Arabidopsis thaliana: one gene and its partner. The protein of the gene in region 2 interacts with the protein of the main gene of each other region in a pairwise test. Each region holds a gene or a part of one and is shown on either strand. Other genes may lie near its edges. The genes, in order: AGL101 and AT4G13620.

Region 1 (7,761 bases), on a different chromosome or scaffold from region 2:
GAAGGTTTTTAGGCAGAGAGATTCCGAAAAAGACTGGGATGCTTTGGTATGGTTCAAATGTTCAACACCAAAGCATGTATTCCACATGTGAATCACAAACCTTGACATGTTATCTACAAGATCCAAACTTGCTTCCTGGGGACTGCAGGTTCCTCTTGATTGATGCCTATGTTCTGGCTCGGTGGAGACAAGAGACCATATTTTCTTGCAGTGCCTTTTTACCCAGACTTTTTGGGATTCGATTATGTCTAGACTGAGGTTGGCGTCCACGATTTTTGACAGTTGGCTTGTTTTGCTGGAATGGACAAATGTTAGAAACAAATCATCACCACAAACCCTGAGACTGCTTCTAATCCACACTTTGGTCTATCATATTTGGAGACGGAGAAATAACGTCTTCCATAATTAACCTTACTACAATCCCGCTGCATGCTATCTTCAAGGAGATTGATCGACAAATCATCAACTCCAATACTGCTAGAAGGAAACTGAAAAAGTTCAGGAATCTAGTGGCTTTATGGCTTTACTAATGGATCCAAATTTATCTTTTACCCAATATACTTATTTGGTATGTACTTGTAGAACTAACAGTGTTCTCTCAGAGGTACTAGACCAATCTACTCTCAAATTGAGTCAACACTTGTAGACTTTTCCACTCTCTTAGATGTGCTCCCATGCTATTCTAAACCAAAATCACTCTAACTACTTTAAGTGATTGTTTTGTATATTTATCTTGGTTTTGAACCAACCACAATGTCTCTTCTCCTTTTTCCATTGGAAATTCTGTCTAAATTCTACGATGACAAACTATTACATTCTAGCTTCTTGATTCCAAACCTATAAGCCTAAACCAACCAGCATCATTTTCTCTTGTTCAGCCTAAAAAGAAAGTTTAGACACATTACCTTACTTGATGGAGGAGGTTGATTTTCAGTCCTTGATCCCTCAAATTTCTTCAGAAAGTTTCCTCCGACATGCTTAGTCTTCTTCGTTGTCTCCGAGAACTTTGAAAAAAGGTGGATCCGGTGGAAGTAGTAGTGGATCCGACGGAGGAAAGGGAGAGCGTGGCGTCGACAGCTATGAAGAAGATTAAGAAGGATGGAGATGAAGAAGTTAACCACGTCGTCGTTGAGAAATAAAAGCAAAACTAAAACTATTTATAGATTATAAGATGAAATTAAGGGTGAAATAGAGGTTGCAAGGCAACCCTAAATACCCTTATTGATGTCATTTTTTCGGGAGGATCTTTTCTCTCCCTCTTCTCTCTCTAATACCTTTCAGAGAGAAAATAGGTTCTCGACCTGATTTTGGGGGCTAGAGTTTTTATGGAGACTTATGTCACAATGTCGTTGGGCTCTGCGTCTGGCATCACTTGCGTATAAGCGGTGGAAGCTGTTTTTTCCGACATCGGTGGCTCTGTTTACCACTGTTGGCTGACACTTCCAGTACTGATTGGCTTCTTCTGCAACGGTGGCTGGTTATGTCTCCATCGATTCAGCCTCTGGCGATTCAGATGGCTAGTACTGGCTTTTGTCCGGATTTGTTTTTAGTCTTTCATTCTCTCGTTTCTCTTTAGCTTCAGTTATTTTGTGTTTGGACCGATGCTTTGGATTTGATTGAAGTTTTGTTCGTAGGTTTGAATGAAAGCAAGCCCCAAATAGCAAAATTTCCTTAACGATTGAAAACTTTTTGATTAAAGAAGAAGATGAAGAAGATTTACAGATTTGTATCAAGTGGAGTCATATTTGCAACAAAAGTCAATTGGAATTTCGCCTTGGTTTGTTTGGGCGAAGAAGATGAATAAGCTTTCCGGCGATTTCTGCTTAGAATGAAGCTTCCGACATCACAACAACTTTTCGATAATCGGAGACTCCCTCCTCCTCTTCAACTTCCCACATGTCTTCCAACTTGTTTCTCATTTGACACGTGTTTTATATGTTGTATACAAGTTTTTCCTTCAGTTTAGGGTTCTCTTATTTGAGCTTTTGGACTTATGATTTTTTTTACTTTAGTGTTTGTAAAATATTGGCATGTTACATTTGGCTTTGTATTATAATTAAAACACACTTGTAAAAAAAAAAAAAAAACTAATTGATGTTCATTACACTCATATATATATATAATGAATATACTTGCTAGAAACCTAAATACATGGGCTTTAGATGGGCTAGTAGATAGGAAATACATGGGCTTGTCAAGTTAAGGTAGAAGTCATCCACAATGCCACTTGCATTCAAGATTCTCTCACAAGTCTGAGGAAATGTTTTTACGAGGCTTTACGGGTTAACGCTGCTGGTGAAGAAAAGCAGAGTGATTACTAGGAAACAGAGCTTGAGGTTTGTTTCTGAAAGCGAGAATCCGGGTGCGATTCAAATTTATAGCCCTTAGCCAATTGCTTCATGTAGGCTTTTCTTGACAGCGAAGTTACCTCATCGACTTTAGCTTTTCTTCCTTCGGTTAGATCGTAGTGAGCATAGTCGAAATCCATGGCGGAACCTGTCCAAATTTTCCTTGGAAGCTCTCCGAGGAAGAAAGTGTTCTTGAAGTGGACACCAAGCTTTCATACATGTATCCATTATTATTACTAAACACGAAGAAAACAAAACGGATCTAACTGAATATACTCTGAAGATTATTAGAAGAAATTAGACAGAAACTAATCAAATGAAGCCTGCAGAGAAGAGAAGAGAAGAAAGCGTTAAAAGACTAATCAAATAAATTCAAGCAGAGAGTGAGAGAGCGGAGAGTATTGTTTCGTCGCTTGTGATTTGAGAGGAGGAGGAGTGATGGAGAAGGTTTACCAATGAGAGAACAGACCATGTTCAAGAAAGCCTTGGAGCTTTCAACTCTGTGCAACATCGAAGTCTGTGTCATATATTATGGTCGTGACGGAGAACTCTTCAAGACATGGCCGGAGGATGAATCCAAGGTTCGAGACATGGCAGAGAGGTTTACCAAACTAAACGAGAGAGAGCGACGGAAGAAAAGAACCAATCTTTCTCTGTTTCTACGTAAGAAGATCCTCGACGACAATAAGCTCTCAGGGAAAGTCTTAGAGATGAAGGATTCGTTAGAAAGGGGTCTACGGGTGCTACAAGATAAGCTTCTGTTACTACAACCCGAGAATCAGACCAAGTCCCTGACTCGTTCTGTTTCTAGTTTAGATTATGTGTTCGTTTAATTGTCTGATTAAGAGTTTCTGTTGAATTGTATGTTTTCCTAACTATGAATGCTATTTTCTCAATTCTATTTTTGTCTATGAGTCTTAAATTTGAGTTTGAATATACATTAGACATTGAATGTTAGATGTCCATAATTGATGCAGGTAAGACAACTAATTGAGTAATTGAGCAAGATATTCTGTGAAATTTTCGGTTCAATTTGTGAATGAACTCAATGGAGGAAAGCTTATAGAAGAGGATATGATAATCATATTACCTGACACTTTGATATGTCAGACGCTCTTGTAGCAGCTTCCGTCAAAAGTTGTTGTTAATACTTAATACTAATGTTTTGTCCAAGATGTGGAAAAAAAACTGACTTTGTTCAGTTGTTGGATTTAGATGCCAGTGAGTTCCCAGATTACAATGCCTTAGTGAGTTTTCTTGATAGGTCTTTAGTGTATCCGGAGGACTGAGAGTGAACAGTCTTGTGTCACGCGGTGGATAGATTCTGTGGTTAATCGTAAACTTAAGGATCTTGATGTTAATTAGTGTCATGTGGAGCGTTATTGTTTTAAAGGTGATCCCCTTATAAGTCTTTATATATGTTAGACATTGTTGTACTTAAGACTGCAACAGGTTTTAATGTGTGATATCTAGTCAGTTTCTGAAATTTTTGTCAAGTTCATGCTTATAGAACAAATTGTATATGCCAATTATGAAGCTATACAGTAGCTTAATTATTCCAGAAGGCTAGTGATAATGTTAAGGTTTTAAGTGTACACTTCTCACTCATTATTCATTATTGTTGAATTTAAGGCACAGGGTTTTTGATTGATGCCCATATGCTCACGTATCTGAATTTCGAAGATGATATTATAGAGAGTAAAATCATAAGCATACAAGTTCTTTAGCCAAGTTTAATGTAGTTGCCTTAATCTGGTATTGTTTTGCTCTTGTTGGCTTACTGATGCAAACTTTGATCCGTAAATCTTCACCGGATTCTCGAGAGTTAATTAGCCCTTGGCATACTGCAGTCTGCAGAGGTCTATGTCTTAATTACCAAATTCATAGTTATATATAAAATGTTGTTTTCATTATATTTTAGATTCTTATTGAGAGTACCTCTACCAAAACATGAAAACAGAACTACTAGCGGAATTTTGCAACTTTACATGTCTTCAAGTGACGTTTTGTCTATCCTACCTTGAAATGCTACACAGACTTCTTGAGAGCTTTCAGAATCTAAAATAACTCGTCATAGTGGTGGTGACTTGCACAAACCCCTAGAGTTTAACATAAGAAACATGTTGTTTTTCTTTCTTCTATACTTTGTGTGTGTGTGTTTTCTATAACATGATTTTGTATATGACCACAGAAACTAGTATATATGGTTGTTTTTTTTGAACTCACTTCCATCGTTCTACTTCTTCGCCGTAAAAAGGTTTGGTTTTAACTATCACATGAAACTTACATTGCCATTAAACTAAAAGCTTTATATCACTCCAAATGTACTTATGGTTCACTTATTCACAAGCAAAATGAAAGGTATTAACTAGACATTTGAGAGTTCTTAGACAAAACAAATTAAACCATAAATGCAGATCTTTGTATATGAGCTTCATTTCTCTCATACCTCCTTCTCTGTTGTTATCTTTGGACACCCTAGGATTGTGCCTATAAGAAAGCACCAAATTCCAAACATAAGAGTTGTTTACATTTTTAAAAATTTCAGCGGTTTAATCACCGAAACAGATTTTCGATTGCTTCTGGGTGCTGTGTGCGAAAACGAAAGATCAAAGAGATATTTCACAAATTTCGGTATCAATTACGGACCTATATTCAAAAGTTTGTTCACGTAATTTATTCTAATGTTTGCTAACTAATTCGTTTTAAGAGTCAGAACATTACCTCTCTAGTGAGTTGTTTTGTGTCTTTTCTGTCTACGATTGTTTCGGTCAAAAGGGTTCATGAACCACTCTGGTTTATAGGAAACGAGTATGTATCCAAACATCAAACCAAAGGCAATACCAGGTCCGAATCCTATTGCAGCTGCTATCCAACTAATCAGATCTTCGTCTTCTTCCTCTGTTTCCGGCGTTTCAAACTGTTGATGTGATGCTGGCGTGTGAATATCTCTGCAAACTTCTTCAAGAGAAGAGCCGAAAAGTCCCAAGTTATCTTCAAAGGCAGAGCAATTTTGCGTTAGAAATTGCTGGCCTCCTGGTACTAGGCCTGCAAGCTGGTTATGAGAGAAGTTCATATACGCAAGGAACGAAAGGTCCCCTAGCTCTTGTGGAATCTCTCCTGTAAGCTTGTTCTTAGAAACGTCCAATGACTCGAGAGCTGTCAGGTTCCCCATAGATGAAGGCATGTGGCCACTGAAAGCATTGTTTGACAAGCTGAGCACGAGAAGCTCTTTCAATAGACCAATGGACTTTGGAATCTCTCCTTCAAATCTGTTTCCGGAAAAGTCGACTGCTGTGTAGATTGTGAGGATACGTACCAGCTCCATCGCTACACCTTTATTCATCAAAACCATTGAATCTTGGTAGTAAAGGCCTGATCCCATGTACTTTTCGTTAGACTGGTCTTCGTTTTTTCCAAGTGATGACATAGCACTCCACTTCACAAAGTACTCTGTTGGCAAAGTTCCATTGAAGCGATTATGTGATATATCGATGATGCGCAACTCAGGGAATGTGGCTTCATGTATTGGTCCATGGAATGCATTGGAGCGTAATACAAGAACTTGTAGCTTCGGTAGAGAACTCAACCAGAAGGGAAACGTGTCGTTGATTCTGTTGCTTTCCACGTTCAAAACTTCAAGAGTAGAGAAAAAACTCAAAGATCTTGGTAGCTTTCCCACTAGCTGGTTATGGCCGACATCAAGAGACCTCAGTATTTCAAATATTTGCTTTGGAAGACCTCCGCTAAGATGATTCTGACGAAGGTTTAGAACTGAAAGAGTACTCTTGAGATGTCCCATGCAACGAGGGATTGAACCATTAAAGTTGTTGTCAGATAAATCGAGTGTGTTTAGAGAACGCAACCCGCATATGAAAGAAGGAATCTTGCCTATGAAGTTATTGTTGGAGCCAAGCAAGTACAGCAGAGATGGTTCAGGTTTCGATGGTCTTTGGAAACCGATTAAAGTGTTGTTGGAAAGATTCACGTAGTACAAGATTGGTAGCCTCCATAACCAGTCAGGAACTTGACCTTTGATTTTGTTGTTGGAAATGTCTAGAAACCCCAATTCGTGTTGGGTTCTTACGAACTCTGGAAATTCAGTGATACCGCACCCTGACAAGTACAAAGATTGTATCAATTGCGAAGGAGGATCTGAAACTGAACTTTTGTTTGTGGCCGAAACATGGTTGCCTGAGAGATCCAATAAAAGGAGCCTTTTGAAATATGATAAGAAATAGTTCAAGTCGATCCTAGTGGTGGTGTTCAAATGGGATATGTTTAGATCTAGGAGTGACTTGAGATGGGAGAAGATACTAAAGTCAACTGGGCCTTGGGTGTTTAAATGGGAAATGTCAAGTCGGAAAAGTTTGACTAATTTGGAAATGGAACTAGGGATTGGTCCTATGAAGTTGTTGTTGCCAATGTCTAACTCATATAGGTTAGATGGTGAAGATATATTTCCAAACTCAAGAGTGCCTTTGAGTTGGTTACCATTCAAACGAATGTAAGTCAAAGAAGGAATGGTGAAGAGAAAAGAAGGGAACGTTCCGGTGAAGGCGTTGTCACTTGCATCAAAATCCATCAAGTTGGATAGTGAAGTGATATTAGGAGGAAGCGTGCCTGTGAACTTATTGTTGGAGAGTGATAAAAGTGACAACCCTGTCAAGTTCAGTAGGACATTGGGAAAGTTTCCGCTGAGCTTATTGTCATCAACATATAAGCGGGTCAGCTGGTTTAGATTGCCAAAAGAAGATGGGATTTCACCAACGAAATTGTTACTAAAGAGGCCGAGAAAGGTAAGTTGAGAAAGGTTTCCAATAAAAGATGGAATCTGACCCGAAAAATTGTTATTAGAAAGGTCGAGAGTGGTGAGATTAGAAAGATTTCCAATTGAAGATGGAATCTGACCCGAAAATTTGTTACTGAAAAGGCTGAGAGTGGTGAGATGAGAAAGACCTCCGATAGAAGACGGAAACTGACCAAAAAACCGATTATAAGAAAGATCTAGAAAAGTGAGATGAGAAAGATTACAAATTGATGATGGAGCCTGACCCGAAAATTGATTATCAAAAAGGTTGAGATAGGTGAGACGAGAAAGGTTTCCGATTGAATTCAGAATCTGACCCGAAAAATGATTAGAAGAAAGGTCGAGATAGGTGAGATGAGAAAGATTTTCAATTGATGACGTGATTTGACCTTTAAAATCATTAAATGAAAGGTCTAGAGTGGTTAGGAAATGAAGGTTTCGAATACTGCTGTTGGAATGAAACCGGCCATGGAGAGAGCTGCAGCTTAGGTCTAGCTCGATCACTTCCCCGGACTTGGCATTGCACGTGACTCCCTCCCAATTACAACAGTCGCTGTTATTCCCCCATGAGTCCGTCTTCCGAGGAGATTCAATGCCATAAAT
Region 2 (8,498 bases):
AGAGAGAGAGAGAGCGAGACCAGATTTTAGCTTATTTAATTTTGCTATGTTGTATTTAACTCTAAACTCTGTCATCAAACTTGTCTTAGCGTCTATGTATATATTTGTTGAATCTGTAGCCTCTCTTTTAGTTTGTGTATTTGCTTCAACTTTTTCTAAGCTTGCCTTCTTTTTTCTTTTTTGGACAAACCTAAATATAGAATTTATGTAATTGTATAACATAAAAAATACTCATTAAATACTCATAACTTATCTCCATGCTATAGATTGGATCTTGTCTACAAATTAGTTGGCACACATTTGCGTAAATGCACAAATTTGATTACGTGTGTAAAATAAAATGTCAAAGAAAAAAAAAAAAATCTCAAGAGGAAGAGAGTGATGGGGTCGGCGATAAAATGACGGCGTATCTGCTCACTCGTACGGTGATTTGCAACTGAAGTTTTGAAAACTAAAAAAGAAGTTTTGATTTTTGAACAAAGAGAGAAAATAAAAACGGCAGAGGAAGAGCCGTTTACGTTGTGCTTGCTTCCCCAAGATTTCTCAACTTCTTCTTCTTCGTGTGAGTTTCAATTCTCTAATTTACTAAAAATTAATCAAATCGCAAGGAGTTTCTCTGTGTTAACGATTGATTCATCGTTGAGTTTTCTCTGTGGTAACGATTGTGTTTATATATAATTTGATTGATTGATTGATTAACTTACCAAATTAGTCTTAGATTTGGATATATGCTTGTAATTGATTCAAATAACAATTTGATTCTCTAACCAATTTCTCAAACTTTGAGTAATTTCTGTAGATTATTGTATACTTGCAGGTATAAAATGCGTTGCCAGGAGGTAAAATCATGGACATTTAAAGGTTTAGTGGCTGCGTTTATCGATCTTTCCGTTGCGTTTTCGCTACTTTGCGCATCGTTTATCGTTTATGTAACATCGAAGTTCCTCGGTTTATTTGGTTTAGACCTACCATGTCCTTGTGATGGTCTATACAGTGAGTGTTTTCAAGAGAGTTTAAGGAATCTTCCGGTTAAAAAGATCTCTTCTGTTCAAAGATCTGTTAAAAATAGAACACCTTTTGATTCAATTCTGTATAATGGTGGAAAGAAGAGAAAATGTGAGCGTAGACGTGTTCAGTTGGAAGATGAGGTATCTAGTACTACTCCTTCTGTTGGAAAGTTTGAGAATAAGGCTTCAGGGTTCGATCTTTTAACTGCGCAAAGTTTGAAAAAAGGAAGCTTTAAAGTTAAGAGTAAGCGGCTTAGCTTCCATAGGTCGCCGTATGGTTTCAAGAACCATTACCAAAGTTGTTTAGGCCTTAAGAGCTTTGAGGGATCATATGATGAAAATGATCCTCTTCTTGTGAACTCCAATGGTAAGTTTTTTTGTTGTCTTTATTCAATTATATTGGATAGTGAATGTTGATTTTGATGCAAGTTGTAACATTGTAGATAGTGGAAAAGCATTGGAGGATGTGTCGTTGCGGAAAAGTGTTTCACTAAGTTCTGTTGGGTGTGGAGTGGGAGAGGGTGCATGCAGTTCCCCTGGTATGGTACAGAGGACGGTTGAGATGTCAGAACAAGTGCTTGGGGAAGAACGAGCTGCACGTGCTTCGTTAGCTCTTGAACTTGAGAAAGAGAGAAATGCTGCTGCATCTGCTGCAGATGAGGCTTTAGGTATGATATTACGGTTGCAAGAAGAAAAGGCGTCGATAGAGATGGAAGCTAGGCAATATCAGCGGATGATAGAAGAAAAGTCTGCTTTTGATGCGGAAGAGATGAGTATTCTTAAAGAAATTTTGCTTAGGAGGGAGAGGGAGAAACATTTTCTGGAGAAGGAAGTTGATACCTACAGGCAAATGTTTCTTGAGACTGAGCAACCTCACAATACTCCAGATTCTAAACCAGCTCAAATCGAAAGATTGCAGACGCCGCAACAGATTACTGAACCATGGGATGACATGGAGACTGTGAATGTCTCTTCTGGATTTGAGATCTTCACTAATCAGATGGACAATACTGAGTGTGATCAGTCAAGAAGTGAGCCATTTGATGCCCTGAGTGATATAGAACTGAAAGAAAGAGAGGAAGGTGAAACTTTATATGCAGAACTAGTATCAAGAACTAGCGACATTGCTGTTTCTAAGAAGCTTTGTGAGGACCCTCACGACATTGATTGTCATGTACATGACATCCATGTAGTGACTGATGAAGATAACAAGGGGCAACTGAATGTTCCTTCTGACCATGCCACTCAGGATCTGAAACTGGACAGATCACAAAGTGTTTCAGATACAAGTTATGCATTTCCACAAGGGAAAAGTAACATGTCTACCAATATGCGAAGAAATTCAATGTCAGCTATTGACTATGAAAGACTGAAAATAGAGAGTGAAGTTGGGTTGCTGAGAGGTCGGTTAAGAGCTGTACAAAAGGGAAGAGAGAAGATCAGTTTTTCTTCCAAAGATCAGAGCAAATCGCAGGTACAGCGTTGTGGAGATAAAACAAGCCGGTTTTGGGAGGCTAGAAGATCTGGACATCTTGACTCTTCTAGCCCTTCATCCACAATGGTGAGTTTCATCGTTGTGTGCTTTGATATGAGGGTTGAAAAATTGCTAAGAGTGCTCTCTTTGTTTCACAGTTCTTGGTAGTTAAATCTTCCATGGTTTTTTGCTTACCAAGTGGCTGAATCTTGTATGGTTTCAAATGGTGTTTTTGCAGGTAAAGGCTATGTCTATGCCACTGGACCTGCATAGTGCTTGAACTGCAAGGTATGTACTTACTCGAAATAACACGACACGATTATACGCCTAGTGAAAACATGAGCAAGTGTAGTTTTGTAACAATCTCTGCCAAAACTCTAATGTTGGTTATTGCCGGGAGAGTATTGTACTTTGTACTCTAAACGGCGTCGTTTCGAAACAAAAATTGACGCTTTTGTGGTCGGTAAAAAGTTTAAGTTTCTTCTCTTTCCAAATAAGTGATACTTGTCCTCTTTCTATTTCTGTGCCAAAACTTTAGATTTTTCACTTTTGTTTGCATATTCGGAAATACAATTGAAGCTAAAAATGACATAATTATTTCTAAAGTTATATAATCAACTTTTTATTTGGTTGTAGAAACTCATATTGTAGTTGTTGACAAAAGAAAAGATAATCTAAATTCATATTTGCCCTTTAACGCTTCTCTGCCCTATTACTATTCATATTCTCTATTGACCTTTGAGCTTTAGTATAGAATGTAGGAAATATTCTAACATTGGACTTTTAAAGTTGGAGTTGGTGCAACAGAATTATAATATTTTCTCATTAGAAAACAAACACTTTTCTATTTTATGGTTACTAGTAACCGCAAAGAAAAGAACAATTAATTAGCAGACAAAAAAAGGAGAACCACTTGATTATGTGGTCGTAAGAAGAATTACAATGTGTTCAACCCCAAATGCAAACCAATCTTGGCATCATAATATGAATTTCTTTCTTTGGTGGAAACTTTTGATATAAAAAAGGGTAGAAGTAAGTAAAATAAGTTTGACAAATATTAATTTGAAGTCAAGAAGAATGAGGAAATGAGAGAGCATCCCAAATGAGATCCATATCCAAAGAAGGCATCCTACTCAATTGTACACCATCTCCTTCCATCACTTCCTTATGGCTTTTCTGTTTCTTCATCATCACGTCTTCTCCTGACTCCATCTTCATGTGATGATTCTTTTGCTCCGGTGTTCCCACTTTTGGAGGAGGAGGAGAAGGAGAGTTACTTACTTGGGAAGATGAGATCTGTTGAATCTTGGACTCCAAAAGTGAGGCGATCATGCATCGCAAAGAACCGGACTTGAGCTGGTGTTTAAGATCAGGAAAGTTGAGGTGTGCGAATTCGCCACGAAGGATATAAGCTGCTGTATCGTAAGCCATTGCTGCTTGCTCAGCGGTTTCAAAAGTGCCGAGCCAAACACGGGTTCTGTTCCTTGGAAGCCTAATCTCTGCGACCCATTTGCCCCAGTGTCTTTGTCTCACTCCTCTATACAGTTTTGTTGGGGTCGTCGTCTGAACAACCTTTCTTGTTTTTGACTTCATGGGTTGAGTCTTGGTGGTACTTAGCCAATAGTTTCCAAAACCTTTCGAGGGATAGTTGGTTAGAGTTTTATTGATCTCTACCCATTCGTTTCTGTTTTGGTCTGATTGATAAAAGGAGTTTGGGATGTATTTATGGTAAGGGCTCATGTTGCTTTCGGATTGAGAAAGTTCTAGTAGCTTTGGTTCTTTAAGGAACAAAGTAAGGTTTGGAGGTTTAGAAGGATGATGATCAGGATGTTGAGACTGAGGAAAAGATTCTAGAAAGTTCCAAGGAACAGAAGCTACCGGAGATGGATGAATAGAAGATGTGAGCTCATGATCATGAGGCGACACAAAGTAGCTCGGAGTCGAAGAAGCAGGAAGAAGAGGAGATTTCATACCTTCCAAAAATATTGGAACACCGAGAAGTTGTGGCGGCGTCGAAGAACTCAAGAACCCGTAGATTCCAGAAGACAAGAGCTTGTCGTGCATGAAGCTAGTTTCTATTTTAGGAAACTGATCTTCCATGTTCCTTTTTTTGTTTGTTTTTTGAGTGTTTGTCCAGAGAATGAAGCCTGTTCTTAATTTTGACAAAATAGGTGGAGAATAAATGTTTATATATACGAGAATTAAGGAGTGTTGTGTGTGTATTGGTGTGATCATGTGGAGATAATATTAGAAAATTTAAGGAACCTAACTTTATTGTCCGAAAAAAACATTATCATCTGACTCAGATCTACGCTCTGCCAAGCTTAATTTGTTCATATGTAAACTAGAGAATTAAAGAGTCTCACAAACACTTTTGGTTAAACAATATTATTGTTAATATTTTGTATTTTTTTCTTTCATAAACAATAATTTGACCTTTATTTTTTCTTATCTTGCGACTTGTTCGTGGCCTCCATTTTACGTTCGCTTTTTCTTATAACTTATCAATCCAAACGTGACAGCTTAGCCCTAACTCATTTAGGTGTTATATATAGCCATATATTGTTTTTTTTTTGGTATAGGGTTTTATATTTAAATTTTACGAATGATGTTGTTGTTGGATACCAACGTTGTTTTCATTTGGTCACTTTAAATATTTAAAAGTTCTTCTAGTTTTTTCATATTGTATAAATACGAAATTTGCTTTTCAATTTGATGGTTGTACTAATATTACATTATTGTTATATCTTGTTAATAAGAGATATATATTCAATATATATGTATATACAGTACACGAAAAATAAAAAGGATGTGGTTTAATGTTCAATATCTTGTTAATTAAACTTAGAACATTAAATCTGTAGTATATTCAAAGTCATAGCAAGAAAAAGAAGTACCAATTTTTTTTATATTTTTTTTATATGTAAATTTGGTTTCCCTTACTAAGATATATATATTTCTTGTAAGAACCTTAATCTTTAAGCATTCTTTAAGCTTTTTTTTTTCAATAAACAAACGATTCTAACTGTGTTTAATTTATTATTCTCGTCTGTTTAGTTATCTTTAGAGTTTTTAAGGCGAAACCTAGGAATATGACTTTGGACCATACAGTATAGGACTTTTCTTTGCTAGATTCCATCTCAAAAAACATAAATTTTCACTATTATATTATAGTAATATATATAGATGAATACACAAATGTTTAATGTATATTTAGTGATCCGCTGTGAAATGCAAATTACAAAAAATATATCTATATATATATATATGTACGTCTGAATACATACTGAATAGTAATTATTAAACTTCTTAATTACAGTTGTACGGGACTAATTATTGGAGCGATGTGATACCAAGAAAACATTATTGAAACGATATTTCATGATAACATTTATCTAATTGGAGAATAAAATTTAATTTGTAAACCACGTATAGTTTAGCACAGATAATCACCACAAATGCTTATAATTAGTGAGCCCATAATTATTAATATTATCATCCAAATACAATGATTAGCTTCAAGTTTTGGCCTCTAATTGAATCCAACTAATGCGGAAGTCATGGGTTGTCTTCTTTTCCTCTCTAGAACATCAGTTTATGTCTGCTTCTTTATTTTACAATATTGTAATAACTTGCTGATGTGGTCTCTTAACTTTTTAAATTAATCGGATTCACCCATAAATTATTCTGTTCGTTCATGTTAGTCACTGTTACAATGGATACAATTCCTTGCAAGAACACTTTTTCCGACGCATATACTCATCTCTTGCTTCATCTTTAGTTACTCCAATTTTTTATATTGTCAATTTAGATTTTGAGACTAAATTTAAGTAACTAATCAAGATATAAGTTTCTTTTTTTAATATAATATAGTTCATTAAACATGTTTAACAATGAATCAAACAGGTAAGATAAGGGTCGAATTGGAAGCTTCGTATTCTAATTTGAGATGATGCACATTTTGTCCTTTGAGATGACTGTTGGGTCGTTTTACGAAAAGAATTATTATTTGATTTATGGAAACAAAATGTTAACGACAAAATAAAATTTATAAAAAGGCTTAAGAGGAAAAAAAAAAGCAGTTGACCAAAAAAATCAGAGGAAAAAAGTATTTCTTTCTTATTTTTATTTTTAACCTATTCCAGTTTCATGTAAATTAATTTGATCCAATTTGATCTCTAACATATTTTAATAGTAAATGTATGTCTTAGTATGGGCTTTAATCACTGATGGTCACCGTGAAGACATTTTTAACCATGTATACCAGACATCTAATGAAAAAAGGCTACAATTATATTAGAACTTTTCATAAAAAAATTGCTTTGGTCACTGTCTCATAATTTAAAAACTAATACTCAATATAAATTAGCAAGTTGGCGCTATTATACGACATTCCTAAATACATCATCTCAAAAACAAATATTTAAGGAGGTTTTGTTTATTAAATAATATCTCTATTTTCTATCATTTATAGATAGGACATAAAAAACATAATATAAAATGATGACAAGTGACAACATTAAAAAAAAACAAAAAAAAAAACAAGTGACAACATATGACTTTATCTGGTTTACTAATTCATTTTTCCAATTTCGTTATTTGTTTTCATAAAAATAGCATTCTCGATCTCAAAACATTTCACATTTTACTTTCGTACGTTAATATAAAATAGAATAGACATATAAAAAATGTTAGCAATTGTCTATGATTTTGCTTTATTGAAGAAAATACAGGTTCTACCCTTTTAATGTTATATTCCAATAATTATTTTATTTTATACATAAATAATTAAAAAAATTTGTTTACTGCTACATGTTCTATTAGATTTCATGATTTTTTTTCGAAATATATACCACTATTTTGCCGTTATATGTTTCAATAAAAAGTTAATGGCTGAGCTTCCGAGTGAGATAAGCGTGTCTATAAACAATTGTTTAAGCTTAAAACTCAAAATCTACGGATAGAGCATTTTTTTTTTTTTTTTTTGTCAAAGACCAAAAGAAAAACAAATGTTGATAGAGAATAGCAACAGACGGCCTAGTACATATCATTGTATTAATCTGAAATAAATTTCATATACATACGATTTGTGCTTCTATTAAATATTAAAACATTTGTTAGATTTATACTATAATTAAAGCTGAAAAATAAGAAATTGTGTTGATGGAGGAGCCATATTCCTCTATTTCAATTGCTGAATTTTTAATTTTGTCGTTATTGTTTTCTTTCTATTGGTCACAAATGTTTTTATTCACTATCTAAATTATTTACGCAAGTACTTTGAAATATATTTCTTACTCTAGTAATCTTGCTAGAAGAGTTTTCGTATATCTAGCTTTTTGTTCTCATTGAACGATATGAATCTAGCTAGCTTGCAGTACAAAGGCTTTAAGTGCAAGTTGAATAACTAAGGTATAGAATCTCAAACATACATCATGTGCATTCTTTTACACCAAAAAAAAAAAAATTACACTAAAAACCATACATCATGTGCCTTTCCATTTTTGATTTTTTTTATCGATCCTAATCATTCGACATTTCGACTATTTTAAAGTTGATATTATATCAAAAAACTTATGAGTTGTAGTGTTGCATAGTAAAGATAGTAGATAAGTAAATGCTTCCTTGTCCAATGAATTAGCCAAAGCTATCTAGTAATCGTTTTATTTTGTAAGAAGAAAGTTTTGAATCTTAGGTTCAAACATCTCTCTTGATATACACCTATTAAACTATCCATAATATGTCTTTTTTTTTTGGATACAATCTATCCTTAATATCTCATCTTCCATTAATCTTGGAAAAGTGATCACTAGTCGATTTCATGAAAATCAATGTTAGTAAATGTATACCCTATAATATTTTAGGTTTAACACCATTTGGTTCAATGATAAATTTTAGGTATAACATTCTCTTATATAAAGAGGAGACTGATTTAAGTTTCCCAAACTATGATAAACATAAATATAAATAATATATTTAGAGATAATTGTAAATATTCCTAAACTAAGATATGACAA

The links.
Region 1: the proteins of AT4G13620 (region 2) and AGL101 interact in a two-hybrid assay, tested with the Arabidopsis thaliana proteins (one large-scale study listed by BioGRID).

What each region holds. Positions count from the first base shown.
Region 1 is NC_003076.8:9,517,458-9,525,218, forward strand, and holds AGL101 (AGAMOUS-like 101), read left to right. Parts: upstream 1-2,818; coding exon 2,819-3,181; downstream 3,182-7,761. Other genes in the region: RLP53 (receptor like protein 53), read right to left, coding at 5,077-7,761; AT5G27065 (uncharacterized protein), read left to right, coding at 6,872-7,147, 7,210-7,245.
Region 2 is NC_003075.7:7,928,356-7,936,853, reverse strand, and holds AT4G13620 (Integrase-type DNA-binding superfamily protein), read right to left. Parts: upstream 4,724-8,498; 5' UTR 4,717-4,723; coding exon 3,550-4,716; 3' UTR 3,275-3,549; downstream 1-3,274. Other genes in the region: AT4G13630 (zein-binding protein (Protein of unknown function, DUF593)), read left to right, coding at 825-1,374, 1,451-2,568, 2,720-2,761.